2 linked regions of the Pelodiscus sinensis genome follow. The protein of the gene in region 1 binds, or shares a complex with, the protein of each later gene. Links are inferred from orthologs where the notes say so. Each region holds a gene or a part of one and is shown on either strand. Other genes may lie near its edges.

The links.
Region 2: the proteins of CACNA1S (region 1) and STAC2 are in contact, whole or in part, in a crystal structure (PDB 6B27), measured with the Homo sapiens proteins. The link is inferred for Pelodiscus sinensis from reciprocal best matches to the Homo sapiens genes CACNA1S and STAC2. Residues at the interface, in NP_000060.2 of Homo sapiens: Glu749, Pro750, Glu751, Ile752, Pro753, Ser755, Pro756, Arg757, Pro758; in NP_945344.1 of Homo sapiens: Tyr301, Lys302, Phe303, Gln306, Glu307, Asp310, Asn326, Asp328, Trp329, Phe340, Pro342, Asn344, Phe345.

What each region holds. Positions count from the first base shown.
Region 1 is NC_134737.1:15,030,334-15,037,283, reverse strand, and holds the start of CACNA1S (voltage-dependent L-type calcium channel subunit alpha-1S), read right to left. Parts: upstream 3,021-6,950; 5' UTR 2,640-3,020; coding exon 2,479-2,639; intron 1-2,478. UniProt on the Homo sapiens protein: Pore-forming, alpha-1S subunit of the voltage-gated calcium channel that gives rise to L-type calcium currents in skeletal muscle.
Region 2 is NC_134739.1:12,029,448-12,037,461, reverse strand, and holds the start of STAC2 (SH3 and cysteine-rich domain-containing protein 2), read right to left. Parts: upstream 3,019-8,014; 5' UTR 2,874-3,018; coding exon 2,784-2,873; intron 1-2,783. UniProt on the Homo sapiens protein: Plays a redundant role in promoting the expression of calcium channel CACNA1S at the cell membrane, and thereby contributes to increased channel activity. Slows down the inactivation rate of the calcium channel CACNA1C.

The sequences.
Region 1 (6,950 bases):
GCGCCCCACGTAAACCCAAACTGCACTGCAGGCTGCAAACAAATAGGCCATGAGCCGTGTGTTGAGTAACCCTGCTGTAGTGGCTCCTACCCTAAGCTCCAGAGGTCCCAGGTTCAAAGTCTCCTGTTGGTGGTTACACCAATGCTCCTATTTAGACCCTCTTACAGATCTGGGGTGCGGGATGGGCAGTGCCCTGGCATCTGCATGCACCCGGGCCAGCCCCGCTTCTCACTGGCCAGTTCCCCCCCGCCAGCCCTGCTCCCTCTGATCCCTGCCTGGCCAGCCCTGCTTCCCACTGGCCAGTTCCCCCCTGCTCCCTCTGATCCCTGCCTGGCCAGCCCTGCTTCCCACTGGCCAGTTCCCCCCTGCTCCCTCTGATCCCTGCCTGGCCAGCCCTGCTTCCCACTGGCTGGTTCCCCTGCCCCCCCGATCGCTCCCAGCCAGCCCTGCTCCCCAGTCCCGGGGCAGCTCCTAGGGGTTTCAAAAAAATACCAGACACACGTGATCTCAGAACGGGATGGGGGGGGACCGGCCAGGAGGGGAGGGGAGCTGTCTGGGAGGGGGTCAGAGGGAGCGGGGCTGGCTGGGGGGGAACTGGCCAGCAGGAAGTGCACGCAGATGCCGGGGCGCTGCCCGTCCCGTGCACGGTCCCAGCGGGACGCACAGGCAAGTCCAGCCCCAGGGATAAGGGAAGAGCTAGGCATGGGCACTGGTACGCTAGGCAAGGGGAGGCGTTGCCTTCCCGAACTGCCAGCCTGGCCCCGCCCCCCAAACACCTGCTGCAGGCGGAGCATTGCTGCCCCCAAGCGCCCGCCATCCCCAGGTTCTGGGGCTGGGAGGCTTGGGCCTAGCACCACCCCACCTCCCCGTGATGGGGGCGTGGCCTAGGCAGAAGGGGCGGGGCTGGGGGCGGGGCTGGGGACTTGCCTCCCTACCTTCGCCCCCCGCCCAGGGAGCTAGGCCTGGATTTCAGTGCCCTGTGAATGGTGACAAGGGGCAGAAATTGACACGTCCCTCGAGAGTTTTGTAGCAAACGATTTTCAGGGGCAGGGAAGCAGCCTCGGCTCCTCTCTGGGCCCGGGGCTAAGCCGAGCGCCTCTGACCCCCGCCGGCTTGGCCCGTGAGCGAGCCTGGCAGCGTCCCCATGAGGCGCCAAGGGAGAACAGCTGGGTCCCGGGGCCCAGGTTCTGTGCCCCCTGGGCAGCCTCCCTGGCGATGGGGTGGGGAGGTCCAACGAGAAAGAGCCAGGAGAGGGGAAGGAGACAGAGACAGAGCGTAGAAAGGAGGGGAGGGCGAGGGCGGGGAAAGGAAAGAATCACAGGTTCCTAGACGGGCCCATTGCGAACTCTCTGTTATCACCCTGAACTCGGTCCTCTGCAGCAGGCCTTTCGGCCAAGCCGGGCTCAGCGCCAGGGCCCTGGCTGGAGAGAGGGAGGGGCCGGGGGAAGGCAGAGAGATGGGGGTGGGGACAGAGATGGGGAGGGGAAAAGGAGGGCGAAGGAAAGCACGAGGAGAGGGGCAGAGGCAGCCATCCGTCTGTGATGTCAGACAGCAGCTGTGGGCAGCCGGCGAGGCGCTGACGCACTCCCGGAGCTATTCCAAGCAGCTCTGTCTCTCCGTCCCCTGGCTTTACTCCCCCTGCCCCACCGCCCCTCCCGGGGCCTCCTCCGCCTTATTCTCTTTCCTGCTCCCTCTGCAAAGTGCGTCCTCTCCCCACCACACCCCGACCCCTGGCCCGGCTTCTCCAGTCGCGCGGCACCTGCCCGCCATCGGCGCACGACGCGCCCCGGGCACGCTGCCCCAAGTCCCTGCGCCTCCGCCTGGCCCGCTCGCATTCCTCCCCAAGATGGCCTCTGCCAGCCCTGGATTGTATGTCTTCCCTCATGAAGCGAAAGCGGCGTCCCCTGCCAAGATCTGCCCCCTCCCGCCAGGCTGCACTCGCGAGAGGGGGACTCTGGGGATTATTTCCATTGGCCCCATCTTTGCTTGCTGCCAAAGACTAAACAAAAGCCACTGGGTCCCTGAGCCAAACCTCCCAAACATCCCCCCTTCTGCTGCACCATCTCTGCCCTCGGCCCAAGAAAACAGGCCAGATCCGGACCTCCCTGACGCCAGCTGTACGTCCCTGAGTGCAGCGGGAATCACAGGATCGGGGCCCTCGCTCCTTTTCATGGATATTTCACCTTTCCTCAGCCTCCCCTGGCCTTTCGGATCCCCCGCGAGACGGGCCGTACCGACAGGCCCCTCTCCGGCCGCCAGGGACAGGAACACCAGCTCTGCGTAAACCACATTCCAAACAGCCCCGAACGCTCCCTCCAGCGCCCTGGCCACGTACTTTCCTCTGGCCGGCCGCTGGGTCGAGGCATTCCCTGATCACACACTGGCCAGTGCCCCTCGGCCTTTGTCGGGGTGCTGGTCTCCCGTATTTCTAGCCCCCCCAGTCCCGGTCCCTCCTCCCTGCCTAGACAGAAAGGATACTTCCATTCCACGATGCTGATGCACGCTTTCCGCAAGGGGTTCTGAAGGGTTAAGCAGAACAGAGCCCTGGCTGGCCGGGGGGCTGCCGGTGGCACCGGTTTCTTGGACTTCTCTTTCTGTTGCTTTTTCTTCTGATCATCCTGGGCAGAAGCAGACTCCATGATCTTCCTTCCCTAGCTGCCTCTGCCAGCTGCTGTCCCCCCGGCCCCTCCTCCACTTCTCCCCCAGCTGAGACCCCCGGCCCCCGACCAAAACCCCTTCTGGTTCTCTTCTGCTGCCGAGCCAGTCTCCTTGCTGCGGAGGGGGAGGCAGGGGGCTGAAAATCGAGCTCACACATACACAAATGCACCAGGCAGGAGTTTAAAATTAGACACCGTCTCCGCGCCCGGTGCTGTCAGAGTTCCTGAGACAGCAAAAGAACCCTGCAGCTGTTGCTTCGTCCCCAGCTTATCCCAAGCCGGTCATGGCTTCCCAAGCCATCGCTCCAGGCTGGGAGTGGGGCAAAGGACTCGCGCCGAGAGGGAAATACGCAGAGAAAAACTCTCTTCGCCCCAGCTCAGTTCTCTCCCTAACCCTCTTCCCCACCTCCCCCCGGCTTCTGGAGCAGCCCGAGGAACCAGCAGGCTGTTTAAACAATACAAGCTGCCTGCGTTGTGCAAGCGGGCGCGGGGCGCGCACAGAGCGAAGCGACAGTCCTCCCTCGGGCGGGGGAAGGCTGCAGATAAACCCACCCAGACTAGCGCTGGGCATTCGCCGCTCCCAGCTGGTGTCTGCTTCCCGGGAATTCCTCCTGCCACCGCGCTTGGTGGGACACGGCCCCCGTAAGGCCGTTCTTAGTGCTCGGGATCGGGTAGCGCTGGGCACCGCACATACGTGGGAGGCCGACCCTGTCCCAGCCGGCAGAATCTGAGCGACACGGATGGGAGGGAGCCAGTGTCTGGTCCCTGCTTGGCAGAAGAGGAACAGAGGCCAGCTCCTCAGAGGGATTTAGGCACATAGTGACCACTGGGAGTTGGGCACCTAACAGCCGTTGTGCAGCTAGGCCATGGAACGCAGCTCTCCCGAGCCCCACGCCTGGCAGGAGCCCTGAGAGCCTGCTTCTGCCCAGCTCAGAACTCTTGCCCCTGGATGGGACTGTAATGAGCAGGCCCTGCACGGACGGCCCTGCACGAGGAGTGGGGAGCAGTGTCCTGAGCCCCATCCAGAGCTTGGAACAAACAGCCCAGCTCTGCTGCTGCCCACGCTCGGCTGCAAGCAGCGGCCCTCGTGCTGTTTCTGGAGCGGGGGTACTTGGTGCACCCTTACTCCTGCCCACCCCCCTCACTGCCCCCTACCGCTGGGGCTGGCAGCCAGGACCCTGCAAATGGGGCTTGTGGCGAGGCGCCAGCAGCGGAGCCTCCAAGTCCAGCAGCCAAGTGGGACAATGGCCAGCAACTGAGCCACCAGGCATAGGGCTGATGGCCGAGTGGGACCCGCTGCCCAGCAGGACGTGGGGCCAGCAGCAGAGCCCCACGCTGCAGCAGGCCTAGCATCCATGATCCCTGGGGGCCAATGGCAGGGACCCTAAGAGCTCGGGGTGCTGGCTGAGGTGCAAAGCCTGGGGCTGCAGCACCCTATTTTCTGCACCGGGGGCTGTGAGAGCCCATCAGTCAGTCAGAAGGGCAGTGAAGCTCTGAGACGGCTTCCAAGGGAGCGTGTTCTCCTACAGGTTTTTGTATGTTGCCATTCCTAATATCAGATTTGTGTCCGTTTATTCTTTTACGTAGGGACTGTCCAGTTTGGCCGATGTATATAGCGGAGGGGCTTTGCTGGCACATGATGGCGAATATTACATTGGTAGATGTGCAGGTGAATGAACCCGTGATGGTGTGGCTGATGTGGTTAGGTCCTGTGATGGTGTCGTTGGTGTAGATATGAGGGCAGAGTTGGCACCGAGGTTTGTTGCAGGGCTTGGTTCCTGAGTTCGAGTTATTATGGTGCGGTGTGTAGTTGCTGGTGAGAATTTGCTTCAGGTTGGCGGGTTGTCTGTGGGCGAGGACTGGCTTGCCTCCCACGGCCTGTGAGAGTGAGGGATCATTGTCCAGAATGGGTTGTAGATCACTGATGAGGCGGTGGAGAGGTTTTAGCTGAGGACTGTAGGTGATGGCCAGTGGTGTTCTGTTGGTTTCTTTCTTGGGCTTGTCTTGTAGTAGGAGACTTCTGGGTACACGTCTGGAACACTTCAATCTCCCTGGACACACAATTGCAGATCTAAAGGTAGCTTTTAGCCGCCTAGGTAGAGAACAGGAACCCGCTCACCCGACTCCCCGTGTACCTGCCCTCCCCAAACTCCTGCAGCCTGCTGCCTTCAGTCTGCCACAAGTACTGGAGAATACTGAGCACAGGCAGCCTTCTACCTGCAGATTTCAGAGCACTTGAGAAAAGTGGGTAAGGCAGATTATCCCCATTATATAGGTGGGAAAACTGAGACAGGGAGCAGCAGCCTTCTCAGAGTCATATAGCACAGCCACAGCAGAGCTGACCAAACAATCGTACCTTGCACTTCACAGCCATGCTCTGAGAGCGCGCGACAGAGACAGTAGGCTCTTTACAAGTGGAGAAACTGCAGCCCCACACGACAAGGCCCCACATCACCCAGCAGGCCAGGGACAGAAGCCGGGTGCCCTGAAGGTGCTAACCACTCAGCCACACTGCCACTTTCAGAGCATCCCTGGTACGGCTCATGCCGCCTCAGGCTCACGTCACCCACTCTGAAGCGCATCCCAGTCGGAGGCCCAGCAGCCCCACTGCAGCACAGTCCTGGCGAATCCCAGCTAGGTGCCGGCAAGCGAGCTGGGGGAGGGGAGACGCTGCAGCTGTTCCTGCCCGTTGCTGCCTGTCTGGGAGAATCAGCTCAGCTGTAAAGGGGTAAAATTAGCAACATTAGTTCCACCCCCCTCCCCCCAGATCATTTCCTGCATTTTAGGGTCACATTTTCCTTCTGGCCCCTACACGCTGGGGTCCCTGGGTATCATGGGCTGAGTCCCCACCTCTGACTGCAGCCCCGCGTGGGCCCCGAGCTTGCCTTCCCTCCTTCTCCTGCTAATCAGGGTCCCCGTGTCACTTGGGATTAAATGGATGGGCCGAGTTACTGCTGCAGCCCCCCAGGGAGGGCTCAGAGCAACGCCCCCCCAGCCACTGCTGAGAGCGCCAGGGAGGGTCTCTGGGGACATCTTCTGGCAGGCGGAGGTGTGGCAGCAGCATGGAATTGGTACCTGGCTTTCCTCCGCCCCTACACGGCTCCCTGAGGCGGACTGAGCTTTGAGAGACGGGTCCGGCAGGGTGGGGATGGTCTGTTCCCTGCCCTGGGCAGTGCTGGAGCGGGGTCCATGGTCTCCTTGGCCCGGAAGGGCTAACACAGAGGGCTGCCGTTGGGGGGTGGCTCTTGGGGGTCCTAAGGCCACAAAATCTCAAGTCAAGATGGCAAATTCAGAGGCCCCAGCTCTGCCCCTGGCAGGGAAATGCCTGCCCCAGGAGACACAAGATCGTCCTGAGCGGTACCAGGGGATCCTCATGGAGCTGGAGCTGCAGGTGCCTGGTGGTGGCCCGAGAGTTTGCAGGCTTTAAGTAAGCCCCAAATTGCCACCGGAAAGTCACCACACCGGCTCAGTCAGCAGGCAAACTCCGTGCCAGCTCCGAGTGGCACCAGGCTTCAGTCCACCCACCGAGTGGCAGACTCCCCTTGGAAGCTGAGACCGCTCGGCAGAATCTCGGTGGACTGTGGCATTCGGAGCTCTCGGCCCCAACCCCTACGGGCGAGTCACACAATCGTAGAACACCAGAACGGACCTCGAGAGGCATCGAGTCCAGTCCCTGCCCTCCCGGCAGGACCCCGTACTATAGACCATCCCTATCTAACCAGCTCTTCAATATCTCCAGGGATGGAGATTCCACAACCTCCCTGGGCAACTTATTCCAATGTTTGACCACCCTGACAGCTAGGAAGTTTTTCCTAATGTCCAACCTAAATCTCCCTCACTGCAGTTTAAGCCCATTGCATTTTGTCCTATCCTCAGAAGCCATGGAGAACAATTTTCTTCCTCCTCCTTTTGACACCCTTTTAGACACCTGAAAACCTCTATCATGTTCCCTCTCGGTCTTCTCCTTTCCAAACTAAACAAGCCCAATTCTTTCAGTCTTCTTTCAAGCTCATGCTGTCTAGATCTTTCATCATTCTTGTTGCTCTTCTCTGGACCGTCTCCATTTTCTCCACATCTTTCTAGAAATGTGGTGCCCAGAACTGGACACAGCTCTCCAAGGGTCCATCTAGACTATGCTGTATTTTTCCAGTCTCACTTTCTAAAGTGAAAGTAGTCTGGACGCATTTTTTTCAGGAAAAAAAAAAAACCCTTTTTCGAAAAACCCCTCTTCCTTAAAAAAATGAGGTTTACATGGTTTTTTAAAAAAGGTTTGTTTGTTTTTTTAAACGTGTC
Region 2 (8,014 bases), on another chromosome or scaffold:
GCAGATCAGGGCGGATTCTGCGCCCAAGCCTCTTTCCCGCTGCCCCCCACGCAGGGAATCCCCAGAGGCAACCTGGCCCCACATGCCCCCTTCCCTGGACAGGGCCGGAAAGGCTCTCATTGAGAGGGCAGCTGGCACACTGATTGGAGGGACAAGGGGGTGGAGGATGCCAACCTGCCTGGGTGGGCAGAGGGTGGGCAGCCGGCAGGATGGCGAGGAGGGGACAACCAGGCAGCATGCGGAAAGAGCAGGTGGGTCCCTGCTGATGGGCAGCCAGGGGCCCGGAAAGCCGCTCTCTGGGCACATTGCATCCACCCTCCCCGGCGCGGGAACGGTCAGGGCCTGCCCTGGGCCAGGAGAAATCCCCCCCCCCCACACACCTGTCTCCTGGGCCCGAGGCGTAGGGATGGTCTATGCGGTCACCGCGAGGCACCCACAGCAGCGACAGGCCTGGTGGAAACACTTAGGCCTCGGCCCTTCCCGGGTCTCTAAATGGAGTTGCCCCCCCACTTGGAGGGTATGGGGGGCAGGCAGAGCAGATGGCAACCTGGGCCAAGACAGAGCAGAGGCAGCGCCCGGGTGGTCGCCCCTCCAGAGCCTTTCGCGGGTGCCCAGATCGCTGCGCCGGCAGGGGAGTCACTGGGTCCCGCTGCAAAAAGCCTCCGGCCCCTCTGCTCATTACACGCCGGCAGCAGCAGGGTGCCCTGTATGCTGAGTGCTTGGGCGGCCACCCAGGAGAGTCACACGCTGCTCAGCTGCTGAGCAGAGCGCCCCCAGCCAGCAGCGGGTGTTTCTACGGGTGGTGCACGTCCGCACAGGCCACACTGCGCAGAACATTTATTCCGCACATGGATGCAAGCAATTAGAGGGAACACTGGGGGGCACCAGCGGGATTTTACTTCAACCAGCCCCCAAAGTGCCCCAGTTCAGTCCCTGCCACTCGGACGGACGACAGGCTCAGAGCCTGCTGCAGCCACCGTGGCCGACCCGGTTCGCAGACCGGGGCCCACATCGCGTGAGGAACGCTCCTGCGGCCGAGGGCTCACAGCAGGGCCTGCTGCCCCCAGGACCACCCCCCCGATACAGAGTGGGGGGGCAGCCCCTACCCCAAGGGTCCCAAAGGCACTGCCGGAGACAGCTCATCACTCAAGTCTGGCTTCCAACCGTGGTTCGAACACGCCGCAGGGAGACCCCAGATGCTACCTGCCCCATCCAAGCCATGTGCCATCTCTGGGGATCCTGTATGGTTCTGGGGTGAGTTGGAAGTGAGGCTTCAGTCCCCCCCAAAACCAATGCCTCTGGAATGTACGCCCAGCCCCCCGCACCCTCGGCCTCCAAGCTGTGGGCCCACCCCCAGCCCACACTTCCAGGGTATGGGCCCAGCCCCCCCAAACCCTCAGCCTCCAGGTTGTGGGCCCAGCCCCACAAAAAACACATGGCCTGCAGGCTGTATGCCCAGCCCCTAAACGAGTCACAAACACACAGGATCCATTTTACTCCAGCCACATGCCAGAGCGGGGTAGCGACGGGCACCAGCCAGACACACCCGAGCCACGGACAGCACCTCTCGCGAAAAGGAAGCCAGGCCTGAATCCACTTGCGTTTACACTGGCATCCAACCAGCATCACTCCACAGGCACCCACCAAGCCGTCCTACGCCAGGGCGAGAGCAAAGGCAGCAAATCGCACCCCGAACGTCCCTCCTTTCCGACCCTCTGCTTGTGTCACGGCGGCACTGAGCCCCCCCGCCACGAGCCCCTGTAAAATCTGCTCCCCCTTTTCCTTCCAGCCCAGCAACCTACCAGGACTCCGCTCCTGCCTTACGCCCCGGAACTGCATGGGCTCCCCGCAGTTCTAGTACGTCAAACTGGGGGAGTCCAGACAGGATGGGGGGGGGGTAAGAGGCCTGGTTTCTGCACCAGGTCGGTCCCTGTCTGCTGGGTTTGCTCGAAGTGTTTTGAATGAAGCCTGAAGCAGTGACCCCTCCCCTTCCAAATCCCCACGTGTAAATCTCCCACTGAACTCCTCGTCCTCTGCCCCCCAACATCCCCAGGGGCTCTCCCCTCTCCGCTCCGGCTGCTGCAACGCCAAGGTGATGCCAAAGAGGCCTCCCATGAAGCTTGGGGGAGAAGAGATCCCCTTGCCGCAGCGCTACCCTGCCTCTTGCCAGACCCCGGCACCCTCCCCACCCTGCCCGGCCACAAGACACCCCACCCCTGGAGTGCCCCATCCCCGGTTATGCAGGGGGAAGCAGAGGCGTCCCAGCTGTTCTCTTGGAAACCCCATTTGGCTGAGGCCAGGAGCGAAGCCAGATGCCAAGCTCCAGGCGCTGGCAGGTTTTTTGTTTTTTTTTTGGGGGGGGGGGGAGAAGAATACAAGCAAAACAATCCCTCTCCCCATCCCCACCCATTGAGGAGTTTAAGCATCATCTGGTGCAGCAAGAGGGGGCAGGTCTCTGTCAGGGCAGCCTCCTGGGTCGCCCCGCAGGAGGATCAAGCTAGTGCCAAGGGGGCGCTCAGCGAGAGCCCCCGCCAGCCCCCCAAAGGGGCCGCTCGTCCCTCCCCGCGGCCGCTGACAAGCCAAAGTGCCCCGGGGCAGGCGGCGCTCCGAGCGGGGCAGGCGTGCGCCCCCCGGCTGGAAAAGGGCCCATTGGCACCGCGCAGGACGCGCGTCGGGGGGGGGGGGGGAAGAGGAAGGGGGGCAGAGGAGTAAAGGGGGGGCTGCAAGTCAACGTCTCTCCAGGCGGGTGGGGGGCAGAGGCAGGCGTCCGGGCTCCGCGTTACCTTGGTCTCCTGCGGGCTGGCGAAGGTGCCCGGGCACCGCTGGGCATCTGCGCCCTGGGGGTCGTTCTCCTTCTCCGTCAGCTCCGTCATGGTGCGGGCGCCACTGGGGCACGAGGGGGAGGGAGACAGACCCCCCCCCCCTTGCTGGCTTGGGAGAATAAACCCCCCCCCGCCCGAAGGGGGGGCGCGGCCCCGGCTCCCCCCCTGCTCCCACTTGGAGAGAAAACTTCTCGGTCGCCGCTTTAATGCAACAACCCCCCCGAGCCGAGCGCAGAAAACCCCGCCCCCGCGCCGGGCTTGTCCTCTGCAGCCGCCCCCGGCTCTGCCCCTGGCCCGGCCCGGCCGCTCCGCGCTGGGCGCCCGATCCCCGCGCTCTGAGCCGCCGCCGCACGCTGCGCCCAAGTTTGATTTAGGAGGCTGCCTGGCTCCGCCCCCTCGGCTTTACGAGAAGTTCATTAACCTCGCTCGCTCATTGGCTATGCTAATCCAGAGGCAGCCGCCGCCCGCCCATTGGCTCCCTGCGAGGGGGTGGAGCTGCCCCCCCCCTTCCCGCACCGTGGGAGCCGGGGCTCTCGGCTCTGCAGGGGGCCCCCCCGTCGGCAGCTGGTCAGTTTCAGAGCAGACCTAGGAAGGGGGAGGGCTGTCCTGGCTGGATGGGGGGGCTGCCGCATCCCCTGGCTGGATTGGGGGGGGGCTGCCGCATCCCCTGGATGGATGGGGGGGGGGGCTGCCGCATCCCCTGGCTGGATTGGGGGGGGCTGCCGCACCCCCTGGCTGGATGGGGGGGGCTGCCGCACCCCCTGGATGGATGGGGTGTCTGTCCATCATAGCCAGGGTTCACCATTTGGGTCGTGGCTCTCAGCCCCCCCACCCCATATTGTTCCAGCCCCTCTGCCAGGCTGTGTGTCAGTCTCTTCCGTGGGATCAGGTGTTTTTTGGGGCGGTACCCCCAGATCTATCCTCACCCCCCTATTCTCCCTTCCACTCCACAGATACTCTTGCTGCCAGCTGCTACTGTGCATTGTTGGAACACACACACACACACACACCCCGGCCTGGGCCAGCGGGGTCCCTCATATCCAGTGAATTTGGAGGGGCAAGGGGTTCTGTGGAAGCATCTCCCCTTTTTTAAGGTGGAATTTTTTTCCTCGCTGCCTGCTTTCAGCAAGATCTAAAATCCCCCAGTGGGGCAGGCGGTTCTCTTTTCCGTCCCCGAGAACAAGACCCGTCCCCTGCTGCCTTAACCTTCACCCCCCTTGCGCCCCACTTTCTGGTTGTCTGTGCCATGTGCCACAAGTCAGGCCTCTTCTCCCCCTCCCCCAGCCTGCCTCCGGCTAGGCCCAGCTCCCAGACATCTGCTCACGGATGCCGCCTGGCTCCTTGCGAACAATGAGATCACTGGCAGGTTCTCAGCTGCCGTGTGGGGCTGCCGGCTGAGACTGATGGGGGCACAGGGAGGACACAGGGCCCTGTGCGGTGCTGAGCACCGGAGAGTGGCTTTTCCTGGCTCCTTTGCTCTCCACCCGCCCCCACCCTCCCCGGCCGCAGGCTTCTCTTGCTCAAGCCGGTGGCATCCGCCTGATGACTTCACCAGGCCTATTCTTGTGCCTACTCTGCTGCCCACCATCTCTACTCATCCGCCAGCCTCTGAGCATGTCTCAGCATAGTAACCCGACCAGGCATAGTAACCTGGCATCAGCCCTGCGTGCCTGGCAGGTTTGCCCTCCTGCAGGACAACTTCCTGCCCTGTCTTGGCCTTCCCCTTTCAGGCATCACCTGGGCCCTCCGAGGTCAGCAGAGGGGCAGCGAGGGGGAAGGTTCTGTCCAAAGGACAGTGACAAGAGCTGCCCCTTCTCCTCCAGCAAGTTGTGAGTCAGTGGTAGAGCCAGGACAAGCAACCCTCCCTGCCTGCTGGTGTCCAGCCCCTGTGGCCCTCCGAGTGGTTAGATCGTGTGAGCCCCCCTCCCCTCCCCGCCCGGCAGAAATACAGTCCCTGGGTTTTGAAGACGAGAGACCTGGGCCATTTTGTGATCAGTGACAAGAAGGGCGGAGAATTGTGTGTCTGTGTGTGTGTCTGTAGCTGGGATCTACTCAGCCCACACGGGGCTGGGGTGTTCTCCACACAAACGCAAGGGTAACGTGTGTGGAACATACCAGCTCTTTTCTCTCTCCCGCAAGGCTCTGCTCCGAGCACCCCACACTGGGGACAGGAGAGAGGGGCAGTAGACCCAGCTCCCAAGGGCGAGTAGGCACCTAATTCACTGATGCCTGAGTTCCGATCACCTCCACCTCACCCTGGGCTGTTCTGAGCGGTGGCTGCCCTGGTAGTTAAACTGGCAGGGCTGCGGGGCTTAGGGGGGGCGGATTTTTCACACACCCACATGACAGAGCTATATTGATCTCAGCTGGAAGTGCAGCCAGGCCTCTGAAACCCTATCAAAAAGTGGAGTCGCCCCCTATCCGCAGCCTGTCCAAGGCCTGGTATCTATTTGAAGACACCCCAGCAGAATTCGGTGCTTTTTTGTGGAGAAAGCCACATCTGGGTTCTTCCCCAAGCGAAATCGCCCAGTGGCATGCTGATACATCCCACCACTGCCTCCAGAAGCCATTGGGAGGCCACGGGCGCAGGGGAGCATGGAGGCCACGTCCTAATTGCCAGGTGGGGGGAAATTCAGGGGGTGAACGACTAAGAGGCAGGACCACGCCCCCCGCCACTCCAAACGAGAGGCGGATTCTCTGGTTTGACGCAGCCCCGGGCGGAGGACGTGTCTTACAAGCGTCACTGCCCCCAGTGCCAAGCAAAGGGCTGATTTACGGCGCTGACGAGCCATTTAGTCCCATCCGTCAAAGCCAAGGGAATTAAAATGCACCAGAGCCCCTTGTCTTGCTTCAGTCATCGCCGAGACAGGAGGCTTTTTACGAGACGTCCCTGGCAGGCGTTGGTTAGATTCTCAGCCTCCAGCTGCTCCTGCTGGTCTCAGGGGCGCGGGGGATTCTACAGCCTGGGCCCTGGAAGCCTTGGACAGGCCAGTCCTGGGGGGTCGCAGCGAGCGCTGCAGGATTCGGACACTCTGGGACACGCAGCGTGCTGGGAATCTGACCCCTTGGGCCCCAATCTGCTCCCCTCTCCCTATGTGGAGTAGCACCCTACTCCAGCAGCCGGCCCAGGAGAATGGACTGAATGGAGCTCCCCCCTCCCATGTGTAGATTTCAGGGCTCTAAATCTCCTTAGCCCCAGGATAAACTGGGGAGAAAATTCTTCTGGCTTGAGCTCCAGCCCAACGTTCCGGGAGAGCCATGTGGCCTGGAGCAAGCGACTCCGCCATGTCCTTGGAGGCGAGCGCCCCCGGCTGCCAGGAATTTGCCATGTCTCCACTGCCTGCATTGGTCACACACTGGACAAGGCGCAGCTGGATTCAGGGTCAGAGCGGAGCAAGGCCTCCTGCAGTGGAAATATTGGGGGGAGGGAGGGGCTATGTTCCCACCCTGAACATGTCACACGGTCTTTAACTGCTGCTGGCGCCAGCTGGGCAACCGGCCAAGCCAGGGCCCAAGAGAGAGACCCCACCATGTCCCAGGCAAGGCAGCTTTGGCTGGAGTCGGGCTCCATTGCTCCTCCATCGTGCTCTGCTCCTGGGCTCCAAATGCAGCAGCCTCCCTTGGAGGGAAAAGCTCAGGCAGCGGGTGTGACGGCGTGTTGGGGGTCCCCCGTCTCCTGCACCCCGAAATGGCACAAACAGACTGCACCAGCCGGTGGAATAGAGGAAGTTTATTGCCTCTCCAGGATACAGCACAGCACAGATGTAGTCTGGTCACAGAGCTGGGCTAGGATGCCTCAGGCCCCCTTGAGATGGGGGAGACTGGGCCCCTAAACTCCAGCCCCTTTCCCTAGGCTGTCTCCTCCATGCTCCCAGACAGCAACTAACCAACACCCTTTCAGCCCTGCCCCCCAGCCAGGGCAGCATCCACCTTCCTTTGTTCCTCTCCATGGGGGGTGTCTGGCCATACCGGTTGAGAGGTCCCTTTGCATAGTGACTCATCCTGTTTTGCTGGGTCGTGGTACCCACGGCAGCCAGGGGGGGTTACCCCAGAGCCAGCAGCATAGAAACCAGCCAGGTACCCCCACTACGTCACAGCGGGTTAACAGCCCCCGGAGTTCGACCCATTTGGTCCCTCGTCTCTCGCGCGCTCTCTGCTCGCTCTCCCTGCCGGCGAGCGTCAGCCGAGGAGCCACCAGAGCTCAGGCTTCGCTCGCAGCTCGTCCGTCTCTTCCCGCCGCTCCCCGGCATCCCACGGCCTGGCCGGCAGACCCCGTTCCCAGGCCCCTCGCAGAGAGATGGGCACAGGCAGCAGCTGCATCTGGCTTTGGAGCCGAGGGGCGTTTTCTTTCCTGGCGACGGGGGAGGCCGAGGGTCTCCATCCGAGCCGGGTAAATCCTATAGAGATGCCCCCATGGGCAGGTTGTTCTATGATTGTCCACTGGGGGGAGGCGGGTCTTGCCCCTTCCTCTGGTGCTGGGGGCTGATACAGGCTGGCTGTAGAGTTGCCACCCAACCAGATTTTCCCAGGACTGACCCTTTTTTAGGCAGCTGTGCTGGGCAATCAGGTCGGCTTCCCAGGCCCTTAAAAGGCCCAGGCTCTGTCAGCCACACCCCTGCTGGCTCCCCCAGCTCCTCCTGGCCTGGGGAGCATCAGCTTGGAGGCAGGCAGGCCCCTCCCCGCCAGCCCCTTCCTTGGTGGCTCTGCTGTGAGCCAGCGGCGGGTGTGGGGCTACGGGGCAGGGCCTGTGGGTTGCAGACAGGGGCAGTGCAAGGGGGGTGTACTGCCCCAGCTCGGGCCCAGATGCATCCCGCCCCGCTCCCAATGGAGGGCGCCCTTCCGCCGCAGGAGGCCAGCGGGCCGGTCCCAGCCATAAACTCCTGGGGGAGGAGACATCCCCGCGCCCAGCTCCAGCAGGGGCGTCTGAGCCAGACTCCCCGGGGGGGGGGGGGTTCTCCCCCAGCCGGGCTGCAAGCGGGTCACCAGCGCCGCGTTTGCTGCATCAGCACCCGGCTGGCGTCACAGGCCCGGCAGGTGTCAGCGGAAGCGGCCCCCGCCTGGCTACACGGAGCCGCTGCCCGAGTTATACCCGCGGCTTGGCAACTGCAGTGCAGCCTCCCGCAGACAGCGGCCGAGCAGGGCCGGGGGGGATCCGGGGGCGGGGGCGGTGCAGCCCAACCCCCCCCCCCCCG